Linked DNA regions of Arabidopsis thaliana. The protein of the gene in region 1 purifies or fractionates together with the protein of each later gene. This does not show direct contact. Each region holds a gene or a part of one and is shown in the gene's direction. Other genes may lie near its edges.

Region 1 (8,986 bases):
GAGGAGATGGGTAATACAGATAAGCTGATGAACCAGATCTTTGAATTGAAATTTACGTCAAAGTCTCTGCAGAGGCAAGCTAGGAAGTGCGAAAAAGAGGAGAGATCGGAGAAGCTCAAGGTAAAGAAAGCCATTGAGAAAGGTAACATGGATGGTGCTCGGATCTATGCCGAGAACGCCATTCGCAAACGCAGCGAGCAGATGAACTACCTTCGTCTCTCTTCTCGATTGGACGCTGTTGTTGCTCGACTCGATACCCAGGCTAAGATGGCTACCATCACCAAATCGATGACCAACATTGTCAAATCCCTCGAATCGTCTCTTACCACTGGTATTTCACATTCTCACTTTTCAGCAATCTAATCAATTTGGTTTTGTTGGTGCTCATAGCATTATAGTATAGATTGAAAAATTCTGCTCCTTGTTGTTGTTTTTGCTGATTGAAGGATATGGAATCATGCATTAGGGTTTGGTTTGATGAAATATTAGAATAGCTCTCTCTCACCGTCATGGATGTTCTGTGATCTGTGATGAATTTTTGTTGCATTTCTCTCCTTTTGGTAAGTGTAGTATAGAGGGAGAAGAAGATAGGGCTTATAATACTCTTATACGTTGTGCTGTAGCAACTCGTGTTATCATTTTCTGGTTTGTTCTTTGCAACAGGCAACTTACAGAAGATGTCTGAGACGATGGATTCGTTTGAGAAACAGTTTGTGAACATGGAAGTCCAAGCTGAGTTCATGGATAATGCAATGGCTGGCTCTACTTCATTGTCGACTCCAGAAGGAGAAGTCAACAGCTTGATGCAGCAAGTAGCAGATGATTACGGTCTTGAAGTTTCTGTTGGACTACCTCAGCCTGCTGGTCATGCCATTCCTACCAAGACTGAAGAGAAAGTTGAGGAGGATGATTTAACCAGGAGACTTGCCGAGCTTAAAGCCAGAGGTTAATTAGCTAACCTAACAAAAAAAAAAACTGTATTTGGATTCTTCTTTTATTGAGATGTTGATGCTATTAATCCCTGAACATGATGGGAATGTTTGTGTAAATTGCTCACCCTGGTACATGCTTTTGTTTATATAAAACCTAGAGTGTGTTTTTACAATGAGAAATTTCATCATCTGCTTAATGGTTTGGATTAGTTGTACAAATGTTAATTCTCCAGATGTGTCTCTGGTAGTAGTTCCACCAAATTTTCCAGGTCCAGAAAGGAATACACTGGAGTAAAAGGTATATTCTTTCCAAGGAGAAGAATGTTTATAGTACTCTTGGTGGATTGTTGCAGTTGTCAACTTGGGAGAGAGGATGATATGGTGAAGTCTCCTCCCTCTCTCCCATGTCTTGTTCATTGCAAAGTCTTGTTCTTTCATGTTTCTTTTCATATACACTTGTTAATGAATAAAGTTGAAAAAATTCGTGAGGAAAAGTCCGAATCTATCTTCTCTGCAAAAATAAAATTAAGTAAAAGAAACATAAAGTTATGGTTTAAAGATGCTTTCGGAAACTCCATCATTTTAGTGGGAGAATCACATAAAAGATTGGTCGTCAATTATTTTTCTTTTATTAATAAGGATGCACATGATGATGAATATTAACCGTAATATACTAATATAGATGACAATGTATTTCAGTGCTAAATTATAGTAACAATTAATTGAATGCTTAAATGAATCTTTTATTATATACTACTTTATATGTGTTTTTTTTGTTTTAATTGAGACAATGATGATGCACCTAGACAAGAACGTCCTACTCTCTGTGCATGTGCTTCTCATTTTATTTACTCTTTTACCAAACAAACTGTTCAACTTAATACATAATGTTGGTAGCCCACAATGTGAAAGATTAAATTAAAACTCATCCATTACCTCCTGTAAGCTCTATATTAACCACTTTAGCTCTTCTGCACACACTCACAACAACCAATCATATTTATTATTAAAAAAAAGAGTCATGGCATTTTCATCTTCGTGTTCGTCCGTCAAAGCCGTCAACTCACGGTGGACGTCTCCGTCTCCGTCACCGTCTTCTAGATTCGCCGTCCTCCCTGCTTTCCTTCACCGCCGTTACGCAACAAGCGTCAAACTAACGGCCATAAGCGCCGCCTTAAAAACCGTCGAGCAAACGACGTTAACAGAGGATAACAGATTCTCAACCGTCGGATCTGACTCTGATGAATACAATCCAACTCTTCCAAAGCCGAGGATCCTCGTCACCGAGAAACTGGGAGAAGCCGGCGTGAATCTCCTCAGGGAATTCGGCGACGTTGACTGCTCTTACGATCTTTCGCCGGAAGATCTGAAGAAGAAAGTGGCGGAGAGTGACGCTCTGATCGTGAGAAGCGGAACTAAAGTGACGAGGGAAGTGTTTGAGGCGGCGAAGGGGAGGTTGAAAGTGGTCGGAAGAGCCGGAGTTGGGATTGACAATGTTGATCTGCAGGCGGCGACGGAGCACGGGTGTTTGGTGGTTAATGCTCCAACGGCTAATACGGTGGCTGCTGCCGAACATGGAATTGCTTTGCTTGCTTCTATGGCACGTAACGTTGCTCAGGCCGACGCTTCTATTAAAGCCGGTACGTTCCCGGTTAGCCATTTTTTTTTTGTTTTATTGAAATGAGACATTTAACCAATTAACCTATCTAGATTAACTTAAAGCTTATACTATGTTTCACACCATGGAAAAGAAAAAACTAATCTAACATGTTTTAGTCTCGCAAAGATTACGAGATCTGATGAAGTCCAAATTATCTTGATTACAAAAAAGAAGAATTGATTATCATTGATTAATCGATAGATATTGAATATTTCGTTTTGTTCATATATTGAGAAGAGTTAATGGTCCATTTGAATAATTCCAGTATAGTGGCGTTACTCGTAAGTGTTTCTTCGTAATAATTGCTCAGTTGATCTTTGGAGTTATGCATTATAGCATAGAAGTGGCAATTTGTCATTGGATAGTAGAAAAGTCATGATTAGAAGCAAAAATAAAATTGGTTTACGTAAGTAGAACAAAAGGGGAAAATCATATTTGATCCTCTCCCTGTAAGATGGAAAAAACAAACGAACCTGTCAAATGTAAAATAATGGGTCCATTTACTGCAAAAAGTAAAAGTCGGGGCCCTGAATTTTGGGGCCGCCAGTAACCTCATTTTACTTTTCTCCGAGTCTCTCACCAACCACAGTACAGAAATTAAATTATTGGAGTCTCTTTGTCTATTATTGCAAACTTCTTGTTTTGTTTTGTATCAATCAACTAAGATTTAATCCGCTGTTTACCGCAGACAATCGGTTTATTTGATTTTTATATTAAATATTTGAATAAATTTGATATTTACATTTTATAAATATAAATTTTTGAATCAAACATTACTAAATTATAATTGGAGGAATATATTAAAATGTGTTTAAAATGTGTATTAATTAGTTATGTATATGTAATTTTAGTAAAAGTAAAGTATTTACAAAAATATAAGATTCACAAAATTATTCATAAAATCTGTTTTTTTAGCCGGTTTAGATATCAATTTATAACTACAATACTAATTTTGATTGTAGGTTTAGATTGAATCGAATCATATAAAGTTTAGGAGATTGTTAAGACCATATTACCTTTAATGATTTTGAACAACAAAAAACAAAATCCAAAATTAAAATCAAAATTGTAACTAATTAGACAAAATTTCAATTTGTACTTTCCAAAAAAGGACAAAAAAAGGGATTGAATCATCTTATTTGGAATTTATTACAAACCCATGCATCGGTAACTGAAGAAATAATTCGATTACCTGATATATTCTCTCTTTAAAGTTTCAATCTCACGCGTCACAACCCATCAGTTCCACCCATTTTGGAATTTGTTTTTTTTTTTTTTTTCCATTTTGGAATTTTGTCATGGCAAATATCATTTTCTCGAGTCTTTGTTGTCTTTTTTTCTTTTTAAAAACTTTATATTCGTTAATAGTTTATTACAATTTTTAAATTACCTTAATTATTGATTCGGCGTATATAGTGCAACTTGATTAGCAGAAGAATATGGGATTCTTTTTACAATATACAAATTTGTAGATATTTTAGTACACAATATACAAGTGGGTCATTAAAAAATAATCATGCATCATAATTGATAAGACTCAATTATTTGTTTCTGGTACTACTGTTAAGGTGGAATTGTCGTCAGTCAAAGCATCAATATACGATCGAGACAGAAACTGAGAAAGTGTAGACATTACAATACCATTATCTCTTCTAAGTCTTAATCACTTTCACTTAAAAATCACTTTTGTAAAATTTGAGTTATTCTTCTTCTTCTGTAATCTAGTAAAAAAAAAAATTCTAAAAAATAAAATCAATTTGAGTTGAACTGAGATGACTCCTCCATCAAGTAATACCGAGGCGGTTTCTGAAATTTGGACATTTGGATATTTTTACAGGAAAATGGGAGAGGAGCAAGTACGTCGGTGTATCTCTCGTCGGAAAAACCTTGGCCGTGATGGGTTTCGGGAAAGTTGGGACGGAGGTGGCGAGAAGAGCCAAAGGTCTAGGCATGACCGTTATCTCCCACGACCCTTACGCGCCAGCTGACAGAGCCAGAGCTCTCGGTGTCGATCTTGTTTCATTCGATCAAGCTATCTCCACCGCCGATTTCGTCTCCCTGCACATGCCTTTAACTCCGGCCACCAAAAAGGTCTTCAACGACGAAACTTTCTCTAAGATGAAGAAAGGTGTGCGTCTCATTAATGTCGCTAGAGGTGGCGTCATCGACGAGGATGCACTCGTTAGAGCTCTCGATGCCGGAATCGTTGCTCAGGCAGCATTAGATGTGTTCTGTGAGGAACCACCATCGAAAGATAGCAGACTAATTCAGCATGAAAATGTTACTGTGACACCTCATCTTGGAGCTAGCACAAAAGAAGCTCAGGTATCATCACTCTCTTGATCTTGTTTATGTTACTTGTTTCATCTCTCTACACTTCTTTTCGAGTTTATATAATTCCAATGTGATATTTTAGGAAGGTGTAGCCATTGAGATAGCAGAGGCTGTAGCAGGGGCATTGAAAGGAGAGTTATCAGCTACTGCCGTCAATGCTCCAATGGTGGCTCCTGAGGTCTTGTCTGAGTTGACTCCTTATATTGTCTTAGCTGAGAAGCTTGGGAGGTTAGCTGTGCAGTTAGCATCTGGAGGTAAAGGAGTACAGTCCATTAGGGTGGTCTATCGGTCAGCTCGTGACCGAGATGATTTGGATACTAGACTACTTCGTGCAATGATCACAAAGGGAATCATTGAACCGATCTCAGATTCATATGTCAACTTGGTGAATGCTGATTTCATAGCTAAACAAAAGGGTCTTCGTATTAGTGAGGAACGAATGGTTGTTGATTCATCACCAGAGTACCCTGTTGATTCCATCCAAGTTCAGATTTTGAATGTGGAGTCAAATTTCGCTGGTGCTGTCTCTGATGCTGGTGATATAAGTATTGAAGGGAAGGTGAAGTACGGAGTTCCGCATTTAACTTGTGTCGGATCATTTGGTGTGGATGTGAGCCTTGAAGGGAATCTGATACTGTGCAGGCAAGTGGATCAACCAGGGATGATTGGACAGGTTGGTAACATACTTGGAGAACAAAACGTGAATGTGAATTTCATGAGTGTTGGAAGAACAGTGTTGAGGAAACAAGCGATAATGGCGATTGGAGTTGATGAAGAACCAGACAACAAAACACTTGAGAGGATTGGGGGTGTTTCTGCGATTGAAGAGTTTGTGTTTCTTAAACTATAAAGTTTGAGATGGAGTTGCATTGTGGTGTATGGAGAATAAAACTGTGACCCGGATTAAGGTGTTTTATCCAGTGGTTGTTAAGCTGTAGAGAATCTGTGGTGTTGCGAGCGAGTGTGTGTATCTTGGTATTATTACATTGTTCTTGTTTTGCTTTCTTATGGTATGTAATGCCTTTGGTTAATGTCATGTTTCTCTTGTAAAATGCTTTTGCTTATATTTTACGATGAACCGTTGGACTTGAAAACAAAATTCCTCCATCACTACTCAATGGATTCGCATTTGGGTCTTTGGGGGTTTTAGTCTTAGGATGTAGGTGGCCTTGTGATCTTGTGACAAAATGCAATCTGCAAACCTCATTGGAATCTAATGTGAAAACCCTTTGAAGTTAAATTCAAATTTCAACATCATGTAAAGGAAATATACCAAAGAAGTGGAACATATATAAAACTTAAAGAAAAGTGATAGAAGACAGAACAAGGACCACCACTCTCTAAATCCTTATGGTGAAAATCACATTTTCTTTGTCAACTATGAAAATTTATGAACTACAGTATAATTATAGGGTTTGGTGATGGAGACATATATAGAAGTTGTTATTAAATTCGTTTGGGACCTGCAAAAGTGACGACCAACCAACTTAAAATCGAAATGGACAGTATGATATTTCCAAAATAAACGTGTTAAAATGTTACAAACGAATATTGTATACATTAAAGAAAGTATGATTCTTCGTTGGGACTTTTTTGACTTCTCAATACCATGAGACGACCAAACCAAATTGAATTCAGTTAAGGAATTAGATAGATTATAATATGTAATGGTGCACGTCGAATGATTGAGTTATGTTGGTGGAATGAATATAGAATATCAATTTAAAGATGATCATTGAGTCTAATTAAGTTGAGAATGCGTGTTATCTTATTTTAGTAAGAGTAATAGCATCCTCCCAAAATGATGACATTTTGTAATAATGAGAGAAATAAACATAATAATTCCATAAAAGAGAGATATACAAGTGGTTTAAGACTTTTAAATAGACTGATGAGTGCTCCACTATCTTAATATTGTTAACAGGGAAGATCAAAATTAATCTCTCAATCAGTTTTGACATTATGTTTTTAATAAACCATTTTTGTTTTATGTGAATATGGTTTTGTTAATAAAGTACTAGTTAAAATTCTAGTGTAGACGACAGATACCAGAGATCTTGATTAAATTCCAATATATAATGTTTATGAAAGATTTAAATCTAACAAAGTAACAGTAGGATGAAATGTCAATAGAAAATTAGCGTCCAAAGAAGCTTTCTCTTGAATAAGCTAAGAAAACAAAACGTGGAAAATGGAATATTTAAAACCACGAAACAGTCTCCGAGTAGTAATGGAAATAGCGAGAAAGAAACACGAAACAGCGTTGAAGGTCGCCAATTCGTAAAGTTAGGTTCACAATCTCTGACGAAGAGTTAACCAAAAAGCGCGCTCTTTTTCTCTCTCACCAAACTCATCGATCGTTTCTTAAATAATGCAATCTGTTCCTGTCACTAAATCCAGATACCCTTTCAAATCCAAAAGCTCTCTCTTTTTTTTTTCCGCCTCTCATTCTGGGTTCAAGGGTTGTTGAGTGAGGTTACTACGTACGAGTGTTTCATATTTCAGTCTCTTGAGCTCTAATCTCAAATGAGGAATCTTGGGTTACTCGAAATTACTCTGCTTTGCTCTCTCTTTGTCTATTTCCGTATAGATTCTGTCTCTAGTTTAAACTCAGATGGTTTGGCTTTACTCTCGCTTCTCAAGCACTTTGATAAAGTCCCACTTGAAGTAGCTTCGACGTGGAAGGAGAACACATCTGAAACCACTCCATGTAATAATAACTGGTTTGGTGTCATTTGTGATCTTTCTGGTAATGTCGTCGAGACCCTTAATTTGTCTGCTTCTGGGCTTTCAGGCCAATTAGGTTCTGAAATTGGGGAGCTTAAGAGCTTGGTCACATTGGATCTCAGTCTTAACAGTTTCTCTGGTTTATTGCCTTCCACTTTAGGAAACTGTACTTCACTTGAGTATTTGGATTTGTCTAACAATGATTTTTCTGGAGAAGTTCCTGATATTTTTGGTAGCTTGCAGAATTTGACGTTTCTGTATCTTGATCGCAATAATCTTAGTGGTCTCATTCCTGCAAGTGTTGGTGGGTTGATAGAGCTCGTAGATCTGAGGATGTCATATAATAACTTGTCTGGTACCATTCCAGAGTTGCTTGGGAACTGTAGTAAGCTGGAATATCTGGCTTTGAACAACAACAAGTTAAATGGTTCTTTGCCAGCAAGTCTCTATCTACTCGAGAATCTTGGTGAGCTATTTGTCAGTAACAACAGCCTTGGAGGGAGGCTTCATTTTGGTTCTAGCAACTGCAAGAAATTGGTTTCTTTAGATCTCTCGTTCAATGATTTCCAAGGCGGTGTTCCACCTGAGATAGGCAACTGCAGTAGCCTTCACTCTTTAGTCATGGTGAAATGCAACTTGACAGGTACAATCCCATCATCAATGGGTATGTTGAGAAAGGTTTCGGTTATTGACCTTTCCGATAATCGTCTCTCGGGGAATATCCCTCAAGAGCTTGGGAACTGCAGCAGCTTGGAAACCTTGAAGCTGAACGACAACCAGCTCCAAGGCGAGATACCACCTGCATTGAGTAAGCTAAAGAAGCTACAAAGCCTGGAGCTTTTTTTTAATAAGCTGTCCGGTGAGATTCCTATTGGCATATGGAAGATTCAGAGTCTGACACAGATGCTCGTTTATAACAACACTCTCACCGGGGAACTACCAGTTGAAGTAACTCAGCTGAAGCACCTTAAGAAGCTTACACTGTTTAACAACGGCTTTTATGGAGATATACCAATGAGTTTAGGCCTGAATCGAAGCTTAGAGGAGGTGGACCTTCTTGGTAACCGTTTTACAGGGGAGATACCACCCCATCTCTGCCATGGACAGAAGTTGAGATTGTTCATCTTGGGTTCTAATCAGCTTCATGGTAAGATACCAGCGTCTATTCGTCAGTGTAAGACCCTTGAGCGAGTCAGACTTGAAGATAACAAACTTTCAGGTGTTCTTCCGGAATTCCCTGAGAGTCTTAGTCTTTCCTATGTGAACCTCGGAAGCAATAGCTTTGAAGGATCCATCCCGCGCAGCTTGGGAAGCTGTAAAAATCTCTTGACTA
Region 2 (7,166 bases), about 17 Mb from region 1:
AATCGAAGAATTACGATCTTGTGATCTCTCTGTTTCACCATATGGAAGTTTGTGGAATTGGTCATGATCTTTATAGTTACAACATTGTGATTAATTGTTTATGTCGATGCTCTCGATTTGTTATTGCTTTATCTGTTGTTGGGAAGATGATGAAGTTTGGTTACGAGCCTGATGTTGTCACGGTTAGTTCTTTGATTAATGGATTTTGTCAAGGGAATAGAGTTTTTGATGCTATAGATTTGGTTAGTAAAATGGAGGAAATGGGATTTAGACCAGATGTTGTTATCTACAACACGATCATCGACGGTTCTTGTAAGATCGGGTTGGTGAATGACGCGGTGGAGCTGTTTGATCGGATGGAAAGAGATGGGGTTAGAGCTGATGCTGTTACTTATAACTCTCTTGTGGCCGGTCTTTGTTGTTCTGGTAGATGGAGTGATGCAGCTCGGCTAATGAGAGATATGGTAATGAGGGATATTGTTCCTAATGTCATTACTTTCACTGCGGTGATCGATGTGTTTGTGAAAGAAGGGAAGTTTTCGGAGGCGATGAAGTTGTACGAGGAGATGACACGAAGGTGTGTAGATCCGGATGTTTTCACTTACAATTCGTTGATCAACGGTCTTTGTATGCACGGTCGGGTAGATGAGGCCAAACAAATGCTTGATTTGATGGTAACTAAGGGTTGTCTCCCCGATGTAGTGACTTATAATACTCTCATTAACGGGTTTTGCAAGTCTAAGAGGGTTGATGAAGGAACGAAACTCTTCCGCGAGATGGCTCAAAGAGGATTAGTTGGTGACACTATCACATACAACACTATAATCCAGGGCTATTTTCAAGCGGGTAGACCAGATGCGGCGCAAGAAATTTTCAGTCGGATGGATTCTCGTCCCAATATTAGGACGTACAGCATTTTGTTGTATGGGCTTTGTATGAACTGGAGGGTAGAGAAAGCATTGGTGTTATTCGAGAATATGCAAAAGAGTGAAATAGAACTTGATATTACTACTTATAATATCGTCATTCACGGGATGTGCAAGATTGGTAATGTTGAAGATGCGTGGGACTTGTTTCGTAGCCTTTCTTGCAAAGGACTTAAGCCTGATGTTGTGTCCTACACTACGATGATCTCAGGCTTTTGTAGGAAACGCCAATGGGATAAATCAGATTTGTTGTACAGAAAAATGCAAGAAGATGGGCTTCTTCCATTATAACATATGAAAACTGTATATTATTTGTAAGTAAAAAACAAATTCTTTATTTTGTATTCATCACCATTTGTAATTTTGTATTATTACAAAAGAAATACAAGTAAGCTGGAGTTTAATGTAAAGTCTTTGAAACCAGAAATAAAAGAGGCAAGAAAAGGGAGATAAAGACAAGTTTTCAAAACATTGCTCTCCATGAATACCACTTGAGTTTAAACTGAAACAAGAGTGGAGGAACACCAAGAACTCCTCTTTGAATCCTGGGATCAAACACATCGAATTGTACTTTATTTAACGAATCCAGAAGAACTTGTACCGGCACAGAATGAAGCAGTACCGGTTTAGCTTCTGCAGGAACCTTTCCCGCCAGTTCACGGGCTTTCAGGAGATGTGCATTGGCAACAGATGCAATCTCAAACACGACATTGCTTAGTCCTTCTCTTGAATCGTTATCCAGAAGAATTTCTAATCGTCCACCTTGTTTCACGAGCAACCCGTGCTTCTCAGCGAGATCTGCAGGGATGTAACTCTGGTGACGGTTTCTGGTACAGTGGTACGGTAATGATTTAAGCAGCAAGACAAGACCACTGGCTTTACCAATGTGTGAAGCTGCATGATCAGCTGTTGTTGAACTAATTCCGCCTGCTTGGAGTGTATTGTACAGAAGAGTGGAAACTGTGTCTTCTGCGTATTTCTCTAGCTCCGCAATGCTCTCTGGTATATCGTCTACTTCTCTTTGGGCATCTCGGATTCTAGCGTCAACTGAGCGTTTTAGCCAAGGTTTACTGATGTTATGTTCTGATATTGCCCAAGACAGAGCTTGTGCAGCTGGATGGTTTATGGGCTTTTTGGTGTAGAGTTTGTCAATTGCTTCTTGCCACCAAAGTAACCGCATCAAGCCGATTTTGGGATCAGATGCAACATCCATGGCTCTTGCGGTTTCTACATTAAAAGCCCGGAGAGCAAATGCTGCTTTACGCATCTCAGTTGGGAGTTCAAGGAGACAGAGGTAGTGATGATAGTCATAGTTTCGTACTTGCTGCACACAATAGGACAATGCTGAACGCAAACTACTCGAGCCTCCTCCATTCATCAGTATAACTCCAACTGTGTTTCTTTCTCTTATCCTACAACCATATAAACCACAAACAAGATCAGTTCATAAAAACAATGAAAAACTCTGGTTTCTTCTATCACTCCATTATAAAACAGTAACACAGAATTCATCTACAAACACAAGAGAAAATCCTCCAATTATCACCACTTCAAATAAATATACTGAATAATTCTCACTAATCCAGAGGTTTTGTGAACCGTTAAACTCATTCAGGAATTAACACAAACACTTGGTGGACAAAGCACTGGAATTGGTATTTAACAAACAAAATGAGAACTTTTCAACATTGCTTAACACACAATCATAAACCCAATAATCACACATGGATAACAAATGAGATCACTAAAGTTCACAGAAACTTTCCAATTAGTAATGTAAAATCGCTGGAAACCATTAATGTCGTCCAACAATAACGAAACGAGCAAAAAACACCTTACCCTAACTCGAAAAACTCTGAGATTCAAGTTTCCTATGTTTAGGAACTGAATCTACCATCCAAAATCCAAATAAAATCAACCTTTCGACCCGAAAATGGAAATCGAACTCTGAACAATCGTGCCGGAGAAGAAGCGTTGGGTCAATGTAGAGAAATACGTCGTCGATTAATATAAAACCACTAATGTTATTACACGACGTCGGTTCTGCTACAGTGTAACAGGAAGTCGGTTTTGTTATAAAATGACACGACGACGTTTTTATGTAAAGAACTGTTTAATGAATAAACGTGATTAGGATAGTATTAACCCGAAACCAAACACTCTTATATCGAACAAATATATATACACTCGTATTTATTCGCCTAAAGCCAAAAACCCATTAGCCCCTCAAGGTATCTTCCAGAAGCAACGAGAAGACCTGCAAGAGAAAATTTTCAGATTCAACTATGGCGGACGAAGCAAAAGCTAAAGGAAACGCAGCTTTCTCCTCCGGTGACTTCAATTCCGCCGTTAATCACTTCACCGACGCAATCAACCTAACACCAACCAATCACGTTCTCTTCTCAAACCGTTCCGCTGCTCACGCATCGCTTAATCACTACGACGAAGCTCTCTCAGACGCGAAGAAGACTGTTGAACTTAAACCAGATTGGGGAAAAGGTTATAGCCGTCTCGGTGCTGCTCACTTAGGTCTAAATCAGTTCGATGAAGCCGTGGAGGCGTATTCGAAAGGGCTTGAGATTGATCCAAGTAACGAAGGTTTGAAATCAGGTTTAGCTGATGCGAAAGCTTCTGCGTCTAGGTCACGCGCTTCCGCGCCCAATCCGTTTGGTGATGCTTTTCAGGGACCGGAGATGTGGTCGAAATTGACGGCGGATCCTTCTACTAGAGGGTTATTGAAACAGCCTGATTTTGTTAATATGATGAAGGAGATTCAGAGGAACCCTAGTAATCTTAATCTTTATTTGCAAGATCAGAGAGTTATGCAAGCTCTTGGAGTTTTGTTGAATATTCAAATCAGGACTCAACAGGCTGGTGATGATATGGAGATTGGTGAGGAAGAGATGGCTGTGCCTTCTAGGAAGGAGCCTGAGGTAGAGAAGAAACGAAAACCTGAGCCTGAGCCTGAGCCTGAGCCGGAGTTTGGAGAAGAGAAGCAGAAGAAGCTTAAAGCTCAGAAGGAGAAAGAGTTGGGGAATGCTGCGTATAAGAAGAAGGACTTCGAAACTGCAATCCAGCATTACTCTACAGCTATGGAGATTGATGATGAAGATATCTCTTATATCACTAATCGTGCTGCTGTTCATCTAGAGATGGGAAAGGTATAGTTTTCAAAGTGTTCTTTTTTTTTTGTGTGCTAGTCTAAAGTGATTTGCTTTGGTTAGGTTATGAGTCTTAATGTCTATGTGTTTTGTTTTAGTATGATGAGTGTATCAAGGATTGTGATAAGGCTGTTGAAAGGGGTAGAGAGCTTAGGTCTGATTACAAGATGGTGGCTAAAGCTTTGACTAGGAAAGGAACTGCTTTAGGGAAGATGGCTAAAGTCTCGAAAGACTATGAACCTGTGATTCAGACTTACCAGAAAGCTCTTACGGAGCATCGTAACCCTGAAACATTGAAGAGACTGAATGAGGCAGAGAGAGCAAAGAAAGAGTTGGAGCAGCAAGAGTACTATGATCCTAATATCGGTGATGAGGAGCGTGAGAAAGGTATATACTTTGCAATTGTATGTGCTGTTTGTGCGAGGAAGAATCTCTTAGAATTCAGTAAATGTAGCTGAACTAACATCTTTGTAACACAGGTAATGACTTTTTTAAGGAGCAAAAGTATCCTGATGCTGTGAGACATTACACTGAAGCGATCAAGAGGAATCCAAAAGACCCGAGAGTAAGGCGGATTCATCATCATATATCCTTCAATGTTGTGCTCAAAAAGAGTTCCGTATTTGACTGTTTTAATAACTTGTTTACTTTTTTGCTCGTCACATAGGCATATAGCAACCGGGCTGCATGTTACACTAAACTGGGGGCAATGCCCGAAGGATTAAAAGATGCAGAGAAATGTATCGAGCTCGATCCAACATTCTTAAAGGGATACAGTAGAAAAGGTGCAGTCCAGTTCTTCATGAAGGAGTATGACAATGCAATGGAAACGTACCAGAAGGGTCTCGAACATGATCCTAATAACCAGGAACTTCTTGATGGTGTTAAAAGGTATTTATATAAATAGGTGTTAAGTCACGGGGAGATTATTCGCTTCTGTTATCTAGTAATGTCAATATGCTTATGTAACATGTTTTAAACCATGCAGATGTGTACAACAGATAAACAAGGCAAACCGTGGCGACCTTACTCCTGAGGAATTGAAAGAAAGACAGGTTAGATTCTATTACTGCTTTGAAACTGCTTTGTTACGGGTTTAAGAGAAACCTGTGATCTTAAACTAAAACTTTTGGGATTTGCTTTCGTCCTTATTGCAGGCTAAGGGAATGCAAGACCCAGAAATTCAGAACATTCTCACAGATCCTGTAATGAGACAGGTAAAGAACACACTTCTATAGATGATGTTAGAATTCACAAATCTCTCTATGTTTAGATCAAACATCTCGGAGCAATCCTGGAAACTGAAATTGAGCTATCTCCATGTTGATATGTCTCACCAAAATCTAACACTTGTTCTTTGGACAGGTACTGTCTGATCTCCAGGAGAATCCAGCAGCAGCACAAAAGCACATGCAGAACCCAATGATCATGAACAAAATCCAAAAGCTTATCAGCTCAGGAATCGTCCAGATGAAATAAACGAAGCCAAGACATTGATTTCGATTTTGCTGAGTCATTACTCTTTTATAACTCCAAACACTAAGATCGAATTCTTCTCATTTTTCAGACTTTTCTGATATATCAATTTTTCTTTCTTTCTCATATCCATGCGTTTTAAGACAATAACAACCTTGTCTTCACAAATTTGATTAGCTTACATGTCTATATAGACCAAACAAAATCACAATAAGTTTTTATGTCTAGGCAAAACAAAATCTGTTTAAGCAGCAACTTCTTGATCCTTGGATGAAAGTTGGTTCTGAATATGTTGAGGAACAACGTCGAACTTAGCCAGTTGCATTGTGTAAGAAGCTCGACCTTTTGTCATCCCTCTCAATGTACTCACGTACTGAAACATCTCTGCCAATGGAACCAGAGAGTCGACCACCTAACAATAATAAGAACAACAATGTCAAAATCAGATTTCATCATCTAACAATTTAGGGGTTTTTTCGATCATTTTGAATAAAACATACCTTGAGACCACCGGGTTTGTCTCCGAAGCTGTTAATTTGACCTCTTCGTGAGTTAAGATCACCAATGACATCACCAAGATGTTCTTCTGGTGTAACAACTTCAACTCTCATGATAGGTTCAAGCATTCTCGGACCCGCTTTCCTCATCCCTTCACGGAAAGCTCCTCTTGCAGCAAGCTGGAAAGCTAGCACGCTTGAGTCTACGTCATGGTAAGATCCGTCAACTAGACAAGCACGGACATCAACAACCGGGAAACCAGCAAGCACACCGGTGCTCATACACTCCTCAAGTCCTTTCATGACACCAGGAATATACTCTCTTGGCACAGCTCCTCCTTTGATCTCACTCTTGAATTCGTATCCTGACCCTGCTTCCAATGGCTCAAACCGGACTGTAATATCAGCAAACTGACCTTGTCCACCTGATTGCTTCTTGTGTGTGTATTTCACTTCAGCTATTTTGGAGATACTCTCACGGTAGTTGACTTGCGGTGCACCAACGTTAGCCTCCACCTGAAAGATGAAAAGGAATTAGAAGCTTGGAAGCTTGAAGTAGAGAATTAGATTTATAGGTTATGTTTTACCTTGAACTCTCTTTTAAGTCTGTCAACGATAATCTCGAGATGAAGTTCTCCCATTCCTTCAATGACGGTTTGGTTCATCTCTTCATCACGAGAAAAATGGAAAGACGGGTCTTCTTGAGCGAGCTTGATCAACCCTGTCGCCATTTTGTCGATGTCTGCTTTTGTTTTTGGCTCAATCGCTACCTTGATGACGGGATCAGGGAAGTCCATTCGTTCAAGAACAACGGGGTTTTCTGGATCACTCAAGGTTTCACCAGTGATTGTATCTTTGAGACCCGCAAGAGCGATAATGTCACCTGTCAAAGCCACTTTAACATCTTCTCTGCTGTTTGCGTGCATTTCCAAGAGTCTTCCGATTCTCTCCTTCTTTCCTTTGTTAGCATTCAACACGTAAGAACCAGCTGAGATTTTCCCTGAGTAAACCCTCACAAATGTAAGAGAACCCACAAAAGGATCACTCATGATCTTGAATGCTAGCCCAGCAAATGGCTCGTCATCATCTGGTTTCCGTATAATGGT
Region 3 (7,850 bases), on another chromosome or scaffold:
TATTCATAAGGAACGACATACTAAACTTATAATGGAGTGTATTATGAAAAAATCAAATCGAATCATCTAGATACTTAACTACAACAAGAAACATGTTACTAACTCACATAATCGATCATAAATATGTCTTAATCAATATATAATATGAACATTCAACTAGTGGTTGCATTTTAATGATAATGACATGTTAAATTAAATAAGAAACTTGGAATTTTTTTTAATAATGGTACACACATATCTTTATAAAAAAATTTCATGTTATTCGATCGATGTGGTAGATTGATGAATTTGGTAACTAAGCTTGCACAATGACAGTATGGCTGGACATAGCTGCGTTGCACAATAATCTGATTAGAAAAAACATTGTTATTTTGGTATTTCACGAATAACATTCGAGGTCTTAAGTGTTGAAGTAGTCCGTTCCCACTGAATATGATCAAAGCTTAGCTAGCTTCTTCATTGCGATAATTTATGGTAACACCCCTGACCAAATTAATTAAATAGCTAATGTTTACACAAGTCTTGTAAATATATCTCTTGTAATATATTTCATTTTAAATATCTTGAGGTTTTTTTTTTTTTTGGCACTTAAGATTTGGAATTTTAAGTCGCATGTTTTGAATAGAAAAAAAAAGTTCCCTAAATTTTGAAAAGATGATAAATGATACGAAAATATAACAAAAAATACAAAAAAAAAGTTGTATTTGGAAAACTATCCATCAAAGTGGACACATTTAAAAAGCACACGCACACATAAGAGTCATAGCTCCTTGAAGGCTATATAAGAGGTAACCTCTTTCCCCATACCCAAACAGTCTTCTTCTTCAACTCTATAACATAAAACACAGAGAGAGATACCAAAAAACAAAAACCAAAATTTTCTCCAAATCTATTTCTTTCGAATCAAACCCATTTCTTGAAACTCGATTTCAAACAAACCCATCTCATTGTTTTCACCAAAGACTTTTTTTTTTTTTGTCGGAATCTGATTAAAACCAAGCATGAAGAGAGTCAGAGGGTTCAAAATTGGACACAGATTTGTCAAAATTTTCAAATGGATACCAAGAAACAGATGCCCGACCCGAATCACAAACCCGGTTACCGGAATCCGGTCATTAGCACGGTGTTTAAGCCGTGGAGCTAAGAGATTGTGCGGTGGAAGCAAGAAGAATCCGGGTCAGAATCAGATCCGGTTGGGTAAGGATCCGAAAAAGTCGAACCGGGTTGTTCCTCGAGGACATTTGGTGGTTCATGTCGGCGAATCAGACGATGACACGCGGCGAGTTGTGGTGCCGGTGATTTACTTTAATCATCCATTGTTTGGAGAATTGTTGGAGCAAGCGGAGCGGGTTCATGGGTTTGATCAACCGGGTCGGATCACTATTCCTTGTCGGGTTTCGGATTTTGAAAAAGTCCAGTTGAGGATCGCTGCATGGGATCATTGCCGCAGGAAAAATTCTTACAAGATTATATAATTTGAATTTATAAAATAGTCAAAAATCAAAAGAGGATTAAAAAAATTTATATACACTTATACAGTACAGAGAAGGATGATTTCCTTTAATTTGTGAATATTAGTTTTTTTTACCATCTATGTTATACGATAAATACCGATTCATAAATACAAGATAATTATTTGTATCAGTTTATTTCATGGATGATAGACCACATTGACATCCTATAATACTATATGGTTTAGATTTATGTGTGTAATTTTATAAGTTAGAACAAAACTGAAATTATGTTCTAACTTATAAAATTACACACATAAAAACTGAAATTAAAAAAAAAAAACAGAAAAAACTGAAATTGGGCTATCAGTATTTTTGAATACTTATATTTCAATATATCAAATACAGTGAGTGATGGTGTATTGCTGTATCTGAAACCTATCATCCACTATAAACCCCAATTGAAGTGAAACAATCAATATTTAGAATTTCCATATAATGTTAATTATGAAATTACTTCTATCTAAATATATTTCAGAAGAATTTTTGAGATACCACTTTTATGATTTTTATTTTTTTTTAATAATACCACTGTTTTTTTTTTTTGTTAATTTTCAATGTAACACAAAATGCAATCATAGAATTTGTTTTATTAACTTTTATAGAGCATATTATAAAAACGTTTATAAAGTTTCTATAATGCATAATATCAAACATTTATAAGATTTTTCACAAAATTTTTAATGTTTTATAGTGCTTAGAAGATTTTTCTTAAGAAATGATATGAAACTAGAATTTTTGAACAACCTTTTTCTGGTCTTTTTGAAAAATGGTATCATAAAGGTGGTAATTTTCAAAATTTCCCAAATTTGAATACAAATTCAAATCATATTGTAGGAAAGTGATCAAATATGTTAAAATTTAGAAGATGAGGTGAGAACAAATGTGCAGAGGAGATGCACTTGCTAAATTTGCATCTTCATGTGATTTGTATTTTGCTTTTTAGATTGTAGTTTACCACTTTGGTTGGTTACAAGTATTTGGAGAAACCATGTACTACTTGTTCTTTGAGTATTAATATATATGATTATATGTGGTATGTTTAGAAAAAAACAAAAAAACCAAATATCAAACCTAAACTTATTAAAAGTAAAGACACATTTGATTAAAACCTAAACCAAAAACGTACAAAACTATTCGCTTATGATGATATTATTTATCATAACCAAAACTTTAATCACCATACATACCTCCGATTTGGTTTTCTCTCCCAAACTGGTCGTCTTCTCACCTCTGGTTTACTACTACTTCGGATTGAAGAATTTTGATCGTCTCGTTGCTAACTCCACGATGTCTTTCTGACGCTTAATCTTCTGACAGAAGACAAAGACATAGCATAAAAAAGTAAGCACAGAACATAAACGGATGTTTATTCTTTTCTAGACGGTATATTTACATAAATAACGAATCACTTATCAAAAAGCTGGAGTAGCTCAGTTGGTTAGAGCGTGTGGCTGTTAACCACAAGGTCAGAGGTTCGACCCCTTTCTCTAGCGTTTCTTTTCCTTTTGTATTTTTAAGATTTAAAAACATTTTTCCACGGCTACAAAAGAACATTCTCGACATACACAAAAAAATTCGAAATTTCGAGAACTCTCTTGTGCCTTCTTCTTCATCTTCCTCTGTTTTTAAAAATGCAATCAAGCAGATTCTCACGATACCTAAACCAAATCCAATTCAATGGCGGAAGAAGCAAAATCCAAAGGAAACGCAGCTTTCTCTTCCGGCGATTACGCCACCGCAATAACCCATTTCACAGAAGCAATCAACCTTTCACCAACCAATCACATCCTCTACTCAAACAGATCCGCTTCTTACGCTTCTCTCCACCGTTACGAAGAAGCTTTATCAGACGCGAAGAAGACTATAGAGCTTAAACCTGATTGGTCTAAAGGATATAGCCGATTAGGTGCTGCGTTTATTGGATTGTCCAAGTTTGATGAAGCGGTTGATTCGTATAAGAAAGGATTAGAGATTGATCCGAGTAATGAGATGCTTAAATCGGGATTAGCTGATGCTTCGAGATCTAGGGTTTCGTCAAAGTCGAATCCTTTTGTTGATGCGTTTCAAGGGAAGGAGATGTGGGAGAAGTTGACGGCGGATCCGGGGACTAGGGTTTATTTGGAGCAGGATGATTTTGTTAAGACGATGAAGGAGATTCAGAGGAACCCTAATAATCTTAATTTGTATATGAAGGATAAGAGAGTTATGAAGGCTTTAGGGGTTTTGTTGAATGTGAAGTTTGGTGGATCTAGTGGTGAAGATACTGAGATGAAGGAGGCTGATGAGAGGAAAGAGCCTGAACCGGAGATGGAACCTATGGAGTTGACGGAGGAGGAGAGGCAGAAGAAGGAGAGAAAGGAGAAGGCTTTGAAGGAGAAAGGGGAAGGAAATGTTGCTTATAAGAAGAAGGATTTTGGGAGAGCTGTTGAACATTATACTAAGGCCATGGAGCTCGATGATGAGGATATTTCGTATTTGACGAATCGTGCTGCTGTTTATCTTGAGATGGGGAAGGTATTAAGTCTTATACTTGGCTTAAAAGTTAAACCTTTAGGTACTTTAAGATTAAGGAGGAGATCTTGGGTTCTTGAAGTAGCTTATCTGTTTAGTATAGCTTGTCACTAGTTAGTACATTTGTGATGACCTTGATGGGTTTTGATAACTTTCATCTGCTTCTTGTTGGAGATTTAAGAGTTTTGAACTTAAGTTTTCACTTGTGCTGAAAGTAGTTAGCTTTAGATGAGGTAGAAATTTAGGGTTTATGGCTTCATGATGGAGTTTATTCACTTGTTCTGTAGAAGTGGTTATCTTTATTATTACTGGAATCAATTAATCTTCAAGTATCCTGAGTGGTTCAATTCCATTGGTCTATGTGTTCTTGCATTAGTCTTGTTTAATTAACAGTTGGTTCATCTGGATCTTACTGTATCTTGTGTGATGTTTTACTTCATTTCTCAAATGAAATTATCAGTACGAGGAGTGCATTGAAGACTGTGACAAGGCTGTTGAAAGAGGCAGAGAACTTCGTTCTGACTTCAAGATGATAGCAAGAGCTCTGACTAGAAAAGGATCTGCTCTAGTGAAAATGGCGAGATGCTCGAAAGACTTTGAGCCTGCGATTGAGACTTTCCAGAAAGCTCTTACAGAGCATCGTAATCCAGATACATTGAAGAAACTGAACGATGCTGAGAAAGTCAAGAAAGAGCTGGAGCAACAGGAGTACTTTGATCCTACGATAGCCGAGGAGGAGCGAGAGAAAGGTATATATACTGATCCTCAGTTACACTTACTATCTTGAAACGTGATTTGATTTTAGGATTAAGCATTTGACACTTCTTCATTGATGCAGGTAATGGATTCTTTAAAGAACAAAAGTATCCAGAGGCAGTGAAGCATTATTCAGAAGCAATCAAAAGAAACCCGAACGACGTGAGGGCATATAGCAACAGAGCTGCTTGTTACACAAAGTTAGGAGCATTACCAGAGGGATTGAAAGATGCTGAAAAATGCATTGAGCTGGACCCAAGTTTCACGAAAGGATACAGTAGAAAAGGAGCTATTCAATTTTTCATGAAGGAATACGATAAAGCTATGGAAACGTATCAAGAAGGGCTAAAACATGATCCTAAGAACCAGGAGTTCCTTGATGGTGTTAGAAGGTTTGCAAATTTTGGCATTCTCTCTTTGTTGTTTAACCTTGCAAAGATCGGTCTAGTGAAAGTGTTGTTGTTTTCAGATGTGTGGAACAGATAAACAAAGCGAGCCGTGGTGATCTGACTCCAGAAGAATTGAAGGAGAGACAAGCAAAGGCAATGCAAGATCCTGAAGTTCAGAACATATTATCGGATCCAGTGATGAGACAGGTAAAAGCAGTGGCAAGCATTGTGTTCTAACTCGTAAGCTGTCTGTGAGACTTGTGTGATGATGTCTATTGTAGGTACTAGTGGACTTTCAAGAGAATCCGAAAGCTGCACAAGAGCATATGAAGAACCCAATGGTAATGAACAAGATTCAGAAGCTGGTTAGTGCCGGAATTGTTCAGGTCCGGTAAATTGGTTATGCTAAACCGGAGTGGTATATTGAATCAAACCGAAGATGTTTCCAAATTTTCACTGCGTTCTTTTGGGCTTTTGTTAAACTGATGAAACTCTGATTTGGTTTGGGTCATGTTTGAGGAGTTGTTGTAGAATGAATCAAGTCTGTGTTCTCCTAGTTTTATATGCTACTTCTTCGAATTTTCTCAAAAGAATCTTCAAACGAAATTTATAATTGCTGTCAAAAAATTTTAAAAAAAACTATAATTCTTTTTTGGTCGAAAATTATAATTTAAAAGTCAAAAGCTGTAAAATCTTTTTTGTTTTCTACATGTCTCTTTTACAGAGGAATAAAAGTCTTTTTAGACGGGCCTCACGTGCATTGCACACGTTATGGTGACTAAGAAATTGTGCAATAATCAGATTGTGTTGAATTTTCTCTTCCACTTTTCTTTAATACAAAATATAGTTTAAAAAAATATATATATAGATTTTTCTCTAGTGGAACGGTTTGTGGAAAGTATTTTAAGATTTAGATCTTAAGATTTTGTTTGCCCAAAAAACAAAAACAAAAAGATCTTAAGATTTTAAAATCTATGAAAGTTTAGGAGTTTTAATTTTAGAATTTAAGTTTCAGAATCTAAGATATGTAATTTTCCTTTGCTAACTGAAAAAACATAAGTAATAATTTCTGAATTTTGATTTAGAACATAAAACTATTTCCCATAACTTTTTATTTTGTTAATTAACGATTATTTTCAAAATTATGACATGTTCCTAATAAATACTATTCGGTTAATCGGTTCACTACACAAATCACAAATTCGTAAGGGGAGGTGTACCGATGGTTAACCAAATTACAGAGTACTTTTTTTTTTTCTTGCAATAGAATTTGCATAGATTTTTCATAAACATTCCATGCAAAAGGGTTAATAGATGTTAAATAGTAATTTAAGAGGATATAATTCATATATACTTGCATGTTTTGTTCATGTGGCAAACAGCCTAAAAATATTTGTATTTCCATAATTGTACCTAATTTGCTTCCATGATCACTCTTCACCGTTACTTCTTGGACTTGTCTTTCCCAAAAGCTAACAATCCGAAGGTTTATTTAAATTAAATCAAAAGAGCACTTAGTGTTTAACTTTAGACTAGTGATAAGATTTTCACACCTGCTCCCAAACTACCAAAGTAAATGGAGCTTATGTGGAAAGAATGTCATCATAAGATTATTCAAATAGTAAAGTGACTAGCTCTTGGTCTAATGGTTTCCGTGAAAAGGAACAAAAACACTAAAGGGTATGCAGAAAGTAGGAGATTTGTCCAACTTAGAGGTTATAATTTGTATGCTTAGAAAAAGTGTATATGTGTGAAGTAAGAAACTCATCTGATTTTAGAAAACAGCATTGGTTATTAGAGTGGTTAAAAATGGTAAACATTATTGTGGCCATCCATTGCTTATATCCGAGACCGTAACTATATTGAAATGTAGGAGCTCATCCAATTTTTGTGGCCAATTCTTTTTCTCCATAAACCCGTTAAAATCATCGTTATCTCTAGTCGAAACCATGACAAAAGCATAAACATCCCAAGCCTACACATAAATACAAAGTATCATAAAGAAACAAATCACCCACTAGGACAAAAAAGAAAATACATGACAAAACCTTATTAAGGACCGAATTTTAATTTATTAGCCGAATATTCTATGACTTATGCCTAGCCGCGAACCGGTTTACAAGAGCCAATGCATTACTAGTAACTCGAGCCACATGAACCACTCTTCTTCTAATCGCTGATTTTACCACACCGTCCATAACCTTTCCATCGAACCCATCCAGACACGTTGTCTCATCCGTTAAGGCAGCACTAACCCAAGTCTCAACGTTACTTAGTCTCCACAAGAACTCGTCTCGATCACGACCAGATCGACCAACTTGCTTCAACTCCCTCATCGACTGAGCCAACATCTCTAAACCGTCTCCAAGATTTTCAACACAATCCTTCACGGCTAAGTACTCTCTCCTTTTGATTCTCCTAGCTTTAGTCAGCTTCCCTACATAGATTGTCGTGGACTGAACCCGGACTAGAGTAACGGCTAAAGCGGTTTGAGCTAACTGGTTTTCGTTGCGGCGGATTTTGTCTGCAAAAGCGGCAAGGCATTTGACGCAGAGAGTTTGGTAACGCGTGACGCGGCATGATGAGACAATGAAGTTGATGCTGCTGCTAGGGTTTGGTGATGATGAAGGTTTGGCTATGGTGGATTGGCAGAGTAGTGGAAGAAAAAGTAGAAGGCAAT

What was found. The genes of interacting proteins can lie anywhere in the genome.
Region 2: the proteins of PGDH (region 1) and Hop2 fractionate together in Arabidopsis thaliana (co-fractionation; one large-scale study listed by BioGRID). This does not show direct contact.
Region 3: the proteins of PGDH (region 1) and Hop3 fractionate together in Arabidopsis thaliana (co-fractionation; one large-scale study listed by BioGRID). This does not show direct contact.

The regions. Positions count from the first base shown.
Region 1 is NC_003070.9:6,099,204-6,108,189, forward strand, and holds PGDH (D-3-phosphoglycerate dehydrogenase), read left to right. Parts: upstream 1-1,811; 5' UTR 1,812-1,953; coding exon 1,954-2,576; coding exon of another isoform or gene 2,577-2,592; exon of another isoform or gene 2,593-2,780; intron 2,781-3,872; exon of another isoform or gene 3,873-4,127; coding exon 4,128-4,215; exon of another isoform or gene 4,216-4,429; coding exon of another isoform or gene 4,430-4,440; coding exon 4,441-4,917; intron 4,918-5,008; coding exon 5,009-5,776; 3' UTR 5,777-6,038; downstream 6,039-8,986. Other genes in the region: VPS46.1 (vacuolar protein sorting 46.1), read left to right, coding at 7-331, 664-950; AT1G17744 (uncharacterized protein), read right to left, coding at 2,152-2,592; PEPR2 (PEP1 receptor 2), read left to right, coding at 7,453-8,986. UniProt on the Arabidopsis thaliana protein: Involved in the plastidial phosphorylated pathway of serine biosynthesis (PPSB).
Region 2 is NC_003070.9:23,227,815-23,234,980, forward strand, and holds Hop2 (stress-inducible protein), read left to right. Parts: upstream 1-3,107; 5' UTR 3,108-3,211; coding exon 3,212-4,087; intron 4,088-4,185; coding exon 4,186-4,474; intron 4,475-4,566; coding exon 4,567-4,652; intron 4,653-4,754; coding exon 4,755-4,978; intron 4,979-5,075; coding exon 5,076-5,142; intron 5,143-5,244; coding exon 5,245-5,304; intron 5,305-5,452; coding exon 5,453-5,566; 3' UTR 5,567-5,729; downstream 5,730-7,166. Other genes in the region: NG1 (Pentatricopeptide repeat (PPR-like) superfamily protein), read left to right, coding at 1-1,217; AT1G62730 (Terpenoid synthases superfamily protein), read right to left, coding at 1,390-2,304; SCO1 (Translation elongation factor EFG/EF2 protein), read right to left, coding at 5,808-5,975, 6,064-6,576, 6,648-7,166. UniProt on the Arabidopsis thaliana protein: Mediates the association of the molecular chaperones HSP70 and HSP90. Mediates nuclear encoded chloroplast preproteins binding to HSP90 prior to chloroplastic sorting.
Region 3 is NC_003075.7:7,336,581-7,344,430, reverse strand, and holds Hop3 (stress-inducible protein), read left to right. Parts: upstream 1-3,069; 5' UTR 3,070-3,191; coding exon 3,192-4,028; intron 4,029-4,485; coding exon 4,486-4,774; intron 4,775-4,863; coding exon 4,864-5,173; intron 5,174-5,250; coding exon 5,251-5,377; coding exon of another isoform or gene 5,378-5,407; exon of another isoform or gene 5,408-5,451; coding exon 5,452-5,565; 3' UTR 5,566-6,413; downstream 6,414-7,850. Other genes in the region: AT4G12410 (SAUR-like auxin-responsive protein family), read left to right, coding at 1,002-1,475; PME1 (pectin methylesterase inhibitor 1), read right to left, coding at 7,258-7,850. UniProt on the Arabidopsis thaliana protein: Mediates the association of the molecular chaperones HSP70 and HSP90. Mediates nuclear encoded chloroplast preproteins binding to HSP90 prior to chloroplastic sorting. Involved in acclimation to heat.